Linked DNA regions of Macaca fascicularis. The protein of the gene in region 1 interacts with the protein of each later gene in a pairwise test. Links are inferred from orthologs where the notes say so. Each region holds a gene or a part of one and is shown on either strand. Other genes may lie near its edges.

Evidence for each region. The genes of interacting proteins can lie anywhere in the genome.
Region 2: the proteins of KIFC3 (region 1) and PSMB1 interact in binary tests that used the Homo sapiens proteins (3 or more experiments, as listed by UniProt). The two-hybrid records come from large-scale screens. The link is inferred for Macaca fascicularis from reciprocal best matches to the Homo sapiens genes KIFC3 and PSMB1.

Annotation. Positions count from the first base shown.
Region 1 is NC_088394.1:53,965,336-53,971,958, forward strand, and holds the start of KIFC3 (kinesin-like protein KIFC3), read right to left. Parts: upstream 3,863-6,623; 5' UTR 3,767-3,862; coding exon 3,659-3,766; intron 1-3,658. UniProt on the Homo sapiens protein: Minus-end microtubule-dependent motor protein. Involved in apically targeted transport. Required for zonula adherens maintenance.
Region 2 is NC_088378.1:518,672-524,718, forward strand, and holds part of PSMB1 (proteasome subunit beta type-1), read left to right. Parts: intron 1-3,035; coding exon 3,036-3,143; intron 3,144-6,047. UniProt on the Homo sapiens protein: Non-catalytic component of the 20S core proteasome complex involved in the proteolytic degradation of most intracellular proteins. This complex plays numerous essential roles within the cell by associating with different regulatory particles.

The DNA of each region.
Region 1 (6,623 bases):
TTCTGGAGGATTAGAGATTTCCTTGAAGCCATGACTACCCTACAACTTTACACTGTGGTGGGCAGCAAAAATAATATTGTGCCTGATCCCAAAGAGGAGACACAAGCCTTTCCAGAAATGTCTACACCAAAGACACACACCAAAAATAGTTTACTAATGTATATTCTCAGCTTGAGTATGTTGTCTGCTTCCACTTCTAGACTTAAGAAAAGGCCGCGTTCCTCACCCTCCTTCCTCCAGCATTTGCTTCATGCAGTTAAAATGGAACGAATGACTTTAGTTAAAGCATAAAAAGAGTCTCACTAAGGAGATACTAATTATAGCTGTTTTCACAAAGCTCTCAGAAACTCCAGCAGGGGGCTCATTCATTCCTGCTGAGCTGCTACAGACCCTGAGATTATGTTGTCTACATCAGCCTTAGAAATTTCCCACAGGCAACACTTCTCCCACACCCGCGGAAGTCATACACCAGTTACAGTGGGAGGGCAACTGTGTAGGTCACTACAAACGGAACCATTAGTTTCATCTCCATGTTCCCCACAAACATTTAAAATAAAATCAAGGCCAAATGCAGTGACTCACACTTGTAATCCCAGCACTTTGGGAGGCTGAGGCAGGCAGACCACTTGAGGTCAGGAGTTGGAGACCAGCCTGGCCAACATGGTGAAACCTTGTCTCTACTAAAAATACAAAAATTAGCCAGGTGTGGTGGTGCATGCCTGTAGTCTCAGCTACTCAGGAGGCTGAGGAGGAAGGATGGCTTGAATCCAGGAGGCAGAGGTTGCAGTGAGCTGAGATTGCGCCACTGCACTCCAGCCTGGGCAACAGAGTGAGACTCTGTCTCAAAAATGAAATAAAATAAAAACAAGCGGGGCAGGTGGAGCTCCCTTAATTCCTCCCTAGGAAATTCTATAAAGGCAGAGTAAAATTTAGAAAATCAAACTGGGGCAGTGGCTCACACCTGTAATTCCAGCACTTTGGGAAGCAGAGGCAGGTGGATAACCTGAAGTCAGGAGTTCAAGACCAGCCTGACCAACGTGGCGAAACCCCATCTCTACTGAAAATACAAAATTAGCTGGGCATGGTGACATATGCCTGTAATCCCAGCTATTCAGGAGGCTGAGGCAGGAGAATCGCTTGAACCTGGGAGGAGGAGGTGGCAGTGAGCCAAAGATCATGCATTGCACTCCAGCCTGGGCAACAAGAGTGAAACTCTGTCTCAAAAATTTTTAAAAATTTAAAAAAAGAAAATCAAACTGGATATCCAAATGATAATTAAATTACATATGTTCATTCATTACCACTGCTGTTACCAGAAAATGGGTCTTGTCCCAGACTCCAAGAGTGGGCTCTTAGATCTCACTTTCTCGGGAAAGAATTCAGGGCAAGTTGCAGAGTACAGCAAAGTTAAGATAGTTTGTTAGAGACTATTATGGAGTAAGGCTTCCTCAGAAAGCAAAAGGAGGAATGCCCCTACTTTAAAATTTTTATTTATTTATTTATTTATTTAGATACAAGATCTCACTCTGTCACTGAGGCTGGAGTACAGTGGCACTATCATGGCTTACTATAGCCTCAATTTCCTAGGCTCAATTAATCCTTCCACCTCTGCCTCCCAAGTAGCTGAGTTACAGGTACACACCACCATGGCTGGCTAACTTTTGTATCTTTTGTAAAGATAAGGTTTTTTCATGTTGGCCAGGCTGGTCTTCAACTCCTGAGCTGAAGAGATCCATCCATCTCAGCCTCCCAAAGTGCTGGGATTACAGGCGTGAGCCACCATGCCTGGCCAAGAATGCCTCACCTTAAACATAGTGCTTGCTTATATAGGTTGTTAAGAATAGCATACTTCATTACAAAGACTTTTGATCAGCTTGTGACGGGCTATTAGTATTGTTATTTTCCTATGTTACTACTGATTTCCACAAGAATTTATGTGTGTACTATTATCTTTAAAGTAAAATCTATTCTTAAACTAAGAATGCTTTTTGTTCTTGAAATATTGGGACGTTTCCATAAGTTCTGGGTCTTTATTTGGTAAGTTAGCATCATTAACTCATCCCCTCAACCATAAATATCTTGTGACCAACAGTGTCAACCCCCTGGGAATGCTGCCCAGCAGGATTGGCTTTACTTAGCCTTTATTCAGGATGGAGTCTCTCTGGTCAGGACATCTCTGACACTATTAACCTTCTATCTCAATGTCTTTCCCTCTCTCACCACGCAACCTTAGATAATTAATTTGTTAATTACCAATCTCATAAATGAAACAATGCTGACCAGGGCAAATGGCTGGTCTGGATGTTCCCAAGGATGTATTGCAGGCGGCAGGAAGGACGATGGACCCAGCATCCACTTTACCCGGGGACGATCATAAAACAATTTGCACCATGGTACTGAGGGCCAGAAGGCCAGAAGACAGCCATGTGATCAAAATAATCTTTCCTAGGCCAGGTGCGGTAGCTCACACCTGTAATCCCAGCACTATGGGAGGCCAAGGCAGGTGGATCACTTGTGGCCAGGAGTTCAAGACCGGCCTAACCAACACGGCAAAACCCTGTCTCTACTAAAAATACAAAAATCAGCCGGGCGTGATGGTGTGCACCTGTAATCCCAGCTACTTGGGAGGCTGTGGCACGAGAATCACTTGAACCTGGGAGGTGGAGGTTGCAGTGAGGCAGGATTGTGCCACTGCACTCCAGCCTGGGCAACAGAGTGAAACTCTGCCTCAAAATAATAAAAATAATAACAATAATGTTTCCCACAGGTAAAATATTTTCAAGCGGAAGGAGTGGAAGTACTAGCCAGTCATATATATAGATCATCAAGGAATAAGGATGAGCTTCCGGAAGCGAATTCTGGCAGCTGGGCTTACCTGCTACTCCCTGGGAGCTTTTTGGCGCCTTTATTATTATTATTATTGTTCTTTAATTTTCTGTCTGGAATAGCTGGGACTACAGGTGCACACCACCACATATGGCTACTTTTTTTTTTTTCTTTTAGTACAGACAGGGTCTTGCCCAGGCTGGTCTCAAACTCCTGAGCTCAAATGATCCTCCCGCCTCAGTCTCTCAAAGTGCTGGGATTACAGGTGTGAGCCACCGTGCCTGGCTGAGATTTCATCAAGCTACTTAGAACATCATGCAACTTAGAATTTATGAATTGTTTATTTCTGGAATTTTCCATTTAATATTTTTGGACCTTGGGGCCTAACCAACACGGCAAACCCTGTCTCTACTAAAAATACAAAAATCAGCCAGGTGTGATGGTGCGCACCTGTAATCCCAGCTATTTGGGAGGCTGTGGCACGAGAATCACTTGAACCTGGGAGGTAGAGGTTGCAGTGAGGCAAGAGGGTTACTGAAACCTCAGAAAGCAAAACTGTGGATAAGAGAGGATTACTATACTGCCATAAAGTTGCATTTTTAAAATAATTTCAAACATTGTATCCAAGTAATATGTGTATTCAATTAAAATTTCATCCCTTCAGTGTTTTATAAGTAATTCAAATACCAGAGTGGTAACCATCTTCTAGGAATATTAGTTACAATCCCAATCACTGTTTTTCAAAAAGATGTTGTCAGTCCTGCTCCTGAAATTTCTCTCCAACAGGTCTCCTCCTCCCATTCCCACTGCCCCAACCCAGCCAGGCCCTTACCTCGCACTGCTCCGGGACGCCAGCCTCCAATCTGAGGCTTTCCTGGTGTCTGGGCTTCCATGCAGCTGTCAGAGTGTTCTTCCTGAAAAGAAACTCCATCCATGCCATTTTCCGAGCAATACGCTTTACTGGGTTGTCCTGTAGCCTTCAGGATAAAGTACAGATTCCTAAGCATGACACCTCGGATGAAGTATTTTCCAGTCTGTTCCCTCCTTTCCAGATTACCACCTGCCCCTTTGACCCTGCCCTTTGGTCATTAGCTACAATCAGCTGCTCTCTCCAGCAAGCCTCACTAGCTCTCCAAGCCTTCCCCCATGATGCTCTCTGCCCAGACTGCCCTTCCTCCTGTTCCTCTGCCTACAAGATCCGACGTGCCCTTCAGCCTCCAATGTTAGTTCACCAAAATCTTCCCTTTGAATTACGAATGCAGCTGGCTGCAAACTCCTCCAAGTGACCAGAGTGTCCTATAATCACCTCTATGATAGCATCTTTGATTTAGGGGGTGATTTTTCTTTTTTTCTTTTCTTTTTTTTTTTTTTTTTTTTTTTTTGCATTTCTGAATTTCCTAAGAGAATGTGAATTCCTAGAATCCTAGGAATTCTCATCTGATTTTTATTCCCAACATAGCACCATGCAAAGCAAAAAGTAGGTACCCAATAACTGCTTTTGGAATGAATGAATGAATCAATGAATGGTACCATGCAGCTGCCAAAGTGCTTTCTGCAAAGCAACTCTGACCTTGTTGCTCTCTGAGCTGTGCTCCTTCCTGGGTGATGAGGTAACACTGGAAGCTATTAACAGATAAGAGAGAAAAAAAAAGGAGGGGAGAGATCTCTGGGGCTCTGACAAATTACTTATTTTCACTGAGTTTCTGTTTCCTCATTTGTAAAACAAAAGTGCTGCCCGGATGAGCTCTGAAGGCATCTTCCAGTTCTCAAATTCCAGCCTGCTTGGCTCCCAAACAACTTTCCTGGAGTCTCTGGCAGCTATAACCCAAGTCTTAGCACCATCTAGTGATAAACAGGCACACAGCTGGGAGGGAAGGCCGGGGAGTGGGGAGGGTGGATAAGAGAAGGAATGCCAACCTTAATTATATTATGAGCTGGCAAGGAATTAGGTCAAACCTGCAAATACGAAGTTAAAACTAAGAGGCCTAACTTTATCCTGGGGATGGAATAACTAATTAGCTTCAGAACATGGATGAAGTAGACAATTATAGAATGCCTGAGACATGGAAAAGACAATAAAACAATTCCTGTGTACCCTGGCCCTCTGGTTCTTTTATCAATTTACTGCTTGTTACTGTAATTAAAGTTTTCTTGGGAGGACATGTGCTTTTGAAGGGCCTATGGCATGGGACTCTAATAACTCAATAAAACCACAAATTTATTAAGAATATATATGTATTTTTCAAATTTCTTCTTATTTATTTATTTATTTGAGACAAGGTCTTGCTCTGTTGTCCAGGCCGGAGTGCAGTGCCATGATCATGGCTCACTGCAACCTCGAACCCCTGGGCTCAAGCAATTCTCCCACCGCAGCCTCCTGAGTAGTGAGGACTACAGGGATGTGCCACCATGCCCAGCTAATTTTAAAATTTTCAGCCAGGCACGGTGGCTCACGCCTGTAAATCTCAGCATTTTTGGAGGCTGAGGCAGGTAGCTCACGCAGTCAGGAGTTTGAGACCAGCCTGGCCAGCATGGTGAAACCCCATCTCTACTAAAAATACAAAAATTGGCTAGACATGGTGGTGCGTGCCTGTAATCCCAGCTACTCAGGAGGCTGAGGTAGGAGACTCTTACCCCGGGAAATGGAGGTTGCAATGAGCCGAGATCCTGCCACTGCACTCCAGCCTGGGCGACAAAGCGAGACTGTCTCGGAAAAAAAAAAAAAAAAAATTCTTTTTTTCAATAGAGATTGGGGTGGGGGAGGTCTCACCATGTTTTGCCCAGGTTGGTCTTGAACTCCTGGCCTCAAGCGATTCTCCCACCTTGGCCTCCCAAAGTGCTGGAATTACAGGTGTGAGCCCCAAGTTCAACCTCTTTACCTTTATTGGAGTATAATAAGACCAAAATATGACTAATTAACACTATAGGAAATAAGGATAATTCTGAGAGAAGCAGCAAAACAGTAATAAGATACTAGTGTCCACATTCTTTTCTTTAAAACCTACAGACCTACACATTTTTATTAACCTAATATTTGCTAAATGACTTTCTAGTTGCCAAAAAACAAGAATCAACAAATCAACTGAACAAATGACAAAAGATAAACAATTGAGCATTGAGTAACAGAAACTATGTTGAGATTTTGCCATAATCTGTCCTCAGGGCTGTCCTGAGACCATTTTCTGGACAAAGCACACATGTAAAGGGGTAGGTACTTTATAGATACATTGAGCAATAAGGGTCCTTAGGCCAGGTATGGTGGCTCACGCCTGTAATCCCAGAACTTTGAGAGGCTCAGGTGGGAGGATCGCTTGAAGCCAGGAATTTGAGACCAGCCTGGACAACAAAGCAAGACCACATTTCCATAATTTTTTTTTTTTTATTAGCCAGGCATGGTGGCGTGCACCTGTAGTCCAGCTACTCAGAAGGCTGAGGTGGGAATATCGCTTCAGCGCAGGGGGGTGAGGCTGTAGTGAGCTATGATTGCACCACTGCACTCCAGGCTTGGTGACAGAATAAGACACTATCTCAAAATAATAATAATAAAATAGGCTGGCGCGGTGGCTCACGCCTGTAATCCCAGCACTTTAGGAGGCCAAGGTGGGTGGGTCACCTGAGATCAGGAGTTCGAGACCAGACTGACCAATATGATGAAACCCCATCTCTACTAAAAATACAAAAATTAGCTGGGCGCAGTGGCACATGCCTGTTGTCCCAGCTACTAGGGAGGCTGAGACAGGAGAATTGCTTGAACCCGGGAGGCAGAGGTTGCAGTGAGCCAAGATTATGCCACTGCA
Region 2 (6,047 bases), on another chromosome or scaffold:
CTTTGGGACGCTAAGGCAGGAGGATTATCGCTTGAGGCCAGGAGTTCAAGACCAGCCTGCGCAACATAGCAAGACCCCATCTCTACAAAAATAAATTTTAAAAACAAAGCAAAAATGTTAATTGGTTCCTCATAAATTTGAAATATTAATGCATATTTTTGGAGTGTGTTAGAAAGACAATGAAAGTCTGATTTTAGTCTTAGTTCTGCCACTAAAGGACAGTCAGGTCTTTGGTTACTTCTGAACTTCTTGAACCTAAATTTTCTTCATTAGTAGCTTCATAGTTTTTGGTGAGAATCGAGAGAGATGTATTTGGTAAATTGCAAGCCGTCATCTTATTTAATCATCATGAAAAGTGAATGTTCGATGATGTTAGCATCCTAGGGTCATATTAGACATTAAACTGTCAGGGTCAGAGAGCTGGTGTGAAGTTGAGCCAGGACTTAGCTATTTCACCACTGAGTTTATTCATGCTTTTCCATTATACTCCTTAACACTTCCTGTGATGACTAATTAAGTTGTACATTGTAGGGAGGGTTATTAGACCCATTTCATAACGCTATTCTCTATAAATAAGAATTTTCAGTGTTCAGTATGCCCTACTCATTACTCACTTTTTAATCCCTAGTAATCCAGTTTAAGCCATTACTGCCCTAAAAATTACTTAGAACTTTCTGATTACTTTTTCTCAGTCATTGTTCTTTTTCTTTAGTGTTTACTGCAGCTGACTTTCAGGCAGCCTTTGCTTCCACAAAATGAGGCCTCATTCTCTTTTTCTACTCTGTCTTTAAATGTAGTTAAACAAGTCATTGGCCCCCTTGTTTATCACTCAGCACTCTTTCATGTCTCATCGCTGGGAGGATAACTCCCAAATCTGGTTTTCCAGTTCTGCCTCTCATGAGTCCCTCAATTCTGGCTTCTTCGGTAAAATATTTCTAACTGGTTTTTCTGCTCTCACAATAACTCGAGACAGCTAACAAAACAAAAAGCAAGCTAATTATTCCCCTCAATCTCCTCTTCTCCTTTTTTATTATTATTTTTTGAGACAGAGTCTCACTCTGTCACCCAGGCCGGAGTGCAGTGGTGCAATCTTGGCTCACTGCAACCTCCGCCTCCTGGGTTCAAGCTTTCTGCCTTAGCCTCCCGAGCAGCTGGGATTACAGGTGCCTGCCACCATGCCTGGCTAACTTTTCTATTTTTAGTAGAGATGGGGTTTCACCATGTTGGCCAGGCTGGTCTCGAACTCTTGACCTCAGGCAATTTGCCCGCCTCAGCCTCCCAAAGTGCTGGGATTACAGGTGTGAGCCACCGTGCCCGGCCTCCTCTGCTCTCCTTTAAAATACTTTTTATAATTATGCCATGATTCTGCTCATTTAAGTTCTAAATCTTGGATGTCATAATTGGTTTTCCCAGTTCCTAACACATTTACGTAGGTATAACAACTTGTCTATTTTGTGTGTTTGTGACAATTTCGGATTTACCTGTTCACCCTGTTACCTTACTATTGCATTAGTAGTATTAGAACAGTGTTTCCATCCCATTTCATGTACTGTTATTGTCAGAGTAGTCTTCCTGAAACCCCACTTTGTAAATGGAACTTTTCTCTCTCTTGCATCTTTTTAAAAGACCAGATCTCCTGCTAATGCCCAGGCACCATCATAGCTCTCTGCAGGGTTCAAGCAGTCCTCCCACCTCAGCCTCCTGGTAGTTACAACTACAGGTCATTCTTGCTCAGAAAACCTTCGTGATTTCTTGCTAAAATTCCAAAATCTTTAGCTTAGCATTTGGGATTTTCTACAGTAGGAACCCTGTCCATCACATAAACCTTATGTCACTACGTGTGTTTGTGCAAAAATGGCTGCCTGAATGAGTTGCTTGAATGTACTATTTGAATTATTACCTGTTTGCCATTGCATGCTGTTTATATTACCTGGAATGCCATCCTTTTCTACGTGAGAGCTTTAGCATAAATCCCTCCTCAGTGAAAATAGTGGTTAAAGTTTTCTGAGTGCTTACGTCTGTGAGGCACCATGCCTTTAATTTCCACTATTGCATTGAAGCAGTGGTTATAGTTATCAATCAAGCCTTTTACAGTAAAATATACACACCCAAATATACACACCTTGTAACACAGGTACTGTTACCATCAACTTGGATTTGGAGAATTTTCCTAAGATCACATACCTAGTAAGTAGCAAGAGTGGGTCTCTGTCTCATGTAATTCCAGAGCCCAGGTGCTTAGTCATACTCTAGTGCCATAGCAGTTATAGCTAACACTTACTAGAGGACCAGTTACATGTCAGGGACTGCTATAAGGGCTTTACATATTTGATTCTTTGAACACCCTATTGAGGTAGCAACTGAAGTGATCTCTGTTGTATTTATGATGAAATTGAGGCCTTGAGAAGTAACTACCCACAGTCTCATATCTGCTAACTGGGAAAGCCAGAATTAGAACCCAGGCAGTCTGCTTTTGGAATTCATACTGTAAATTTCTTTGATAAGCTGTCAAATTGTACAGCCACAGAGGAAAAAATTTACTGTTTGTCCGTTTGTCATTGTATAAGGACTTGGGTATAAAGAAATAAGCATTATATAGGCGTTACATAAGGACTTGGCTATAAAGAGAAAGAAAGATAAATCCCATCTTCTCGAAACTCCTAGAGCTTGTGTTGTAGTACCGCTGTCTGTAGTTAACCCTCAAGGGCTCAGACGTGGTGTTTAGTTGTTCTGTATTAGTAGTACCTTGCACAAGTAAGCATTTAATGTGTTGGTGATGATAATTCATTGACTTTTCTGTTACCTCCTGCCAAGGAGACTTTGCCCTGATTTAGGCTTATTAATAATTTGTTTTTCCAGGCAACTTGTAACCAGGGGTTCATTCTCTTGCCGCTCATCTTTCCTCTTCCCATTTGAATCATGTTTTGTTGACATCTAGAGTATTTGATCCCAGTATGTGCTATGGAGCATTCTTCTATTTGTAGGGATAGGATTACCACCCTGGAGAATTAATGTTTTTTTTCTTTTTTCCTCAGTACTGTACTGGCAATTGCTGGAGAAGATTTTGCAATTGTTGCTTCTGATACTCGACTGAGTGAAGGGTTTTCAATTCATACCCGGGATAGCCCCAAATGTTACAAATTGTAAGTAAATATTTCTGAAGACATTTCACAATGCCTTTGTAATGATTTAATGCTGTGAGAGTTTCTACTTCTAAATGATTTGTTTCATGAGTTTTTAAGTTGCTGTTGGGAGCATTTTTATTAGAAAATCATTTTCTAAGTTAATGTTTCCTAATAATTCAATGTGCAGTCTTAAAAATATTTGCTATATTCAGGGTACCAAAAGTGCTTTCGGTAACTTAAATGTGTTCACCCCAGCATTTTACCATGAAAATTTTCAAATGTGCAACAAAAGTAAGAGAGTTTCATAATGAAAACCCGTATGCCATCACCTAGATCTTACTGTTTGTATTTTACTATAATTACTTTGTCACTTTTTCCATCTATACATTTGTCTTAGTCCATTTTATGCTGCTGTAACAGAATGCCACACACTAGGTAACTTATAATGGACAGAAATTTATTGATTTACAGTTCTAGAGGCTGCGAAGTCCAAGATTGAGGGGCTGGCATCTGGTGAGGGCTTTCCTGCTGTGTCTTAACATGGTGGAAAGCCAGAGAGAGAGAAAGAAGAGCGAGCGAACCCACTCCTGTGATAATGTCCATTCATGAGGGCTGAGCCCTCAGGACCTAAACACCTGGTCCCAACTCCCAGTACCATCACAATGGCAATTAAATTTCAACATGAGTTTTGAAGAAAGCATTCAAACCATAGCACCATTAATCATTAAATGGTATTTTTTAAAAATCTGCCTCCCCACACTGTTTTTTTTAACTTGAAACATTCGTTTTAGAAATACCCTAAGCCATTATATCCATAGCTCAGTTTTAATAGGCTAGCTGTGTTTTTCCTAAAACATGAAAATAAAGCCAAAACTTAAAAAAAAAAAAAAGCCTGCATAAATCAGCTAAATACATACTGCAGATTAGTAGTGGTCTGTATTTAACAGTTTTGGAAATACTTATAAATGGTCATGAATTCCTGGGTTAGTTACAAAAGTCTATTAAACTTGAATTGTAATAGGAATGAATGGGACTTAGGAGGTTTAGGTCCTTTGGACAGGCCGTCCTTGTACTGTAGGAAGTAGGTACAGAAGAAAAGATACGTTTTCTTCCCTGGTCCCAGGGATAGCCCACATCTTATCCCAAAAAGCAGTGAAGTTTGTTTGCATCTTCCCGGTTCTCTTTCTGTCCACTTGCATCTTCTGATACCGTCTTTCTGCTTTCTGTTCATAGTGTTCTCGTGTTATCTTTTTTTCTCCTCGAGGATGACACTTGTACAACTTGAAAGTAGTAAATATTAGAAATAAGATTTTAAAACAACTTTATGGATACCATCCTTGTACTGGCTTTTACTCATCTTTTAAATGTTGCTTTAGTTACGTTTGCTGCTGAAGTGAGCACTTTTTTTTTTTTTTTAATGAAACACATCAGATATAGAGATAGAGAATAAGAACAATACAGCATTAACGAATGCCTGTATATATCTCTCATCCCATGTCCTGTGGGGCGGACCTAGAACTAGGGGTGCCTCTTCCAAACCTGTTGGAGACTATATTCTTTGCATGAAAACTCCCATTCCTTTGGTGGTACCTGGATATTTGGGAAAAGCATCTTGAAGTTCTAAGATTTCTGTCTTTCCCTGTTGGTATTGTCAGCCAATCTTGTTAGTAAAGGCAGTAAAGCCTTGTAGGGGATTGGAGTCTTCACCTCAGTGCAGTGAGGTTGGTGGTAGGGATAGAGTTGATGTTAGTGATGACCCTAGAGGTGTCGGCTGCTCTCCTAGTAGGACAAGTATGGTTTGTGCGGGTCATTCATAAGTTTCCAAAAGGAGTTGTGGCCTCTGCAAAATATTGTGTAGGTTTCTTTATAGATTCATATAAAGATCTAGGAATTAATTTTTGAATTACATGGTTGAATTTGTATGTCTATGCCAAATTTTAGTCCTTTCCATACAGATGGACATTTGGCTTTTGTTTTGTTTTGTTTTCTTATGGGGTGCTATTTAAATGAATGCTCACTAGTGAGTCTAGAGCATCCCTCTGCATGCTGGCATAAGTATATTGACAAGATGGATGTCTAGCAGTAGAATTGGTGAAAGTGGTGTGTATTTAAAATTTTAATGGATACCACCAAATTGCCCATCTAACAAGTTAATCAGTTTATACTATTTCCACAACCTCACCAGCATTTAGTTAGGCGTTTTTAGCCATTATGATTGGTTGAAATAGTCTCTTTTTTAGATTTGGATTTCTGAGTAACATAGAGGCTCTTATGTTTATGGTGACTTAATGTCTCTTTTTTCTGTGACTTGTCTGTTCATAGACTGTTACCCTTCTTTTCTTTGTGTCGTTACTGCTTTTCTTATTTGTAAGAACTCTTTGCAGAATTAAAACTAGACTTTGATGGTAGGTGCTACCAGTATATTTTCTTAGGGTTTTAAAAAGCTATTCATAAATTTCTCTGTAGAGTTTTATGTAGTCAAATTTATGAAATTTTTCTGTGTGGCCCTTGGATTGTGTTATATTTAAATCTACCTTCATGAGGCTGGGTGCAGTGGCTCACACCTGTAATCCCAGCACTTTGGAGGCCAAGGCTGGCGGATTACCTGAGGTCAGGGGTTCAAGACCAGCCTGACCAACATGGTGAAACCCCATCTCTACTAAAAATACAAAAATTAGCTGGGCTGGTGGCGGGCGCCTGTAATCCCAGCTACTTGGGAGGCTGAGGCAGGAGAATTTCATGAATACAGGAGGTGGAAGTTGCAGTGAGCCAAGATTGTGCCACTGCATTCCAGCCTGGGTGGGTGACAAGAGTGAAACTCCATCTCAAAAATCAATCAACCAACCTACCTACCTATCTTCCCCAGCCCAAGATAGTAAAAAAATTCACCCATGATTTATTTAGTCCATTCATAGTTGCATT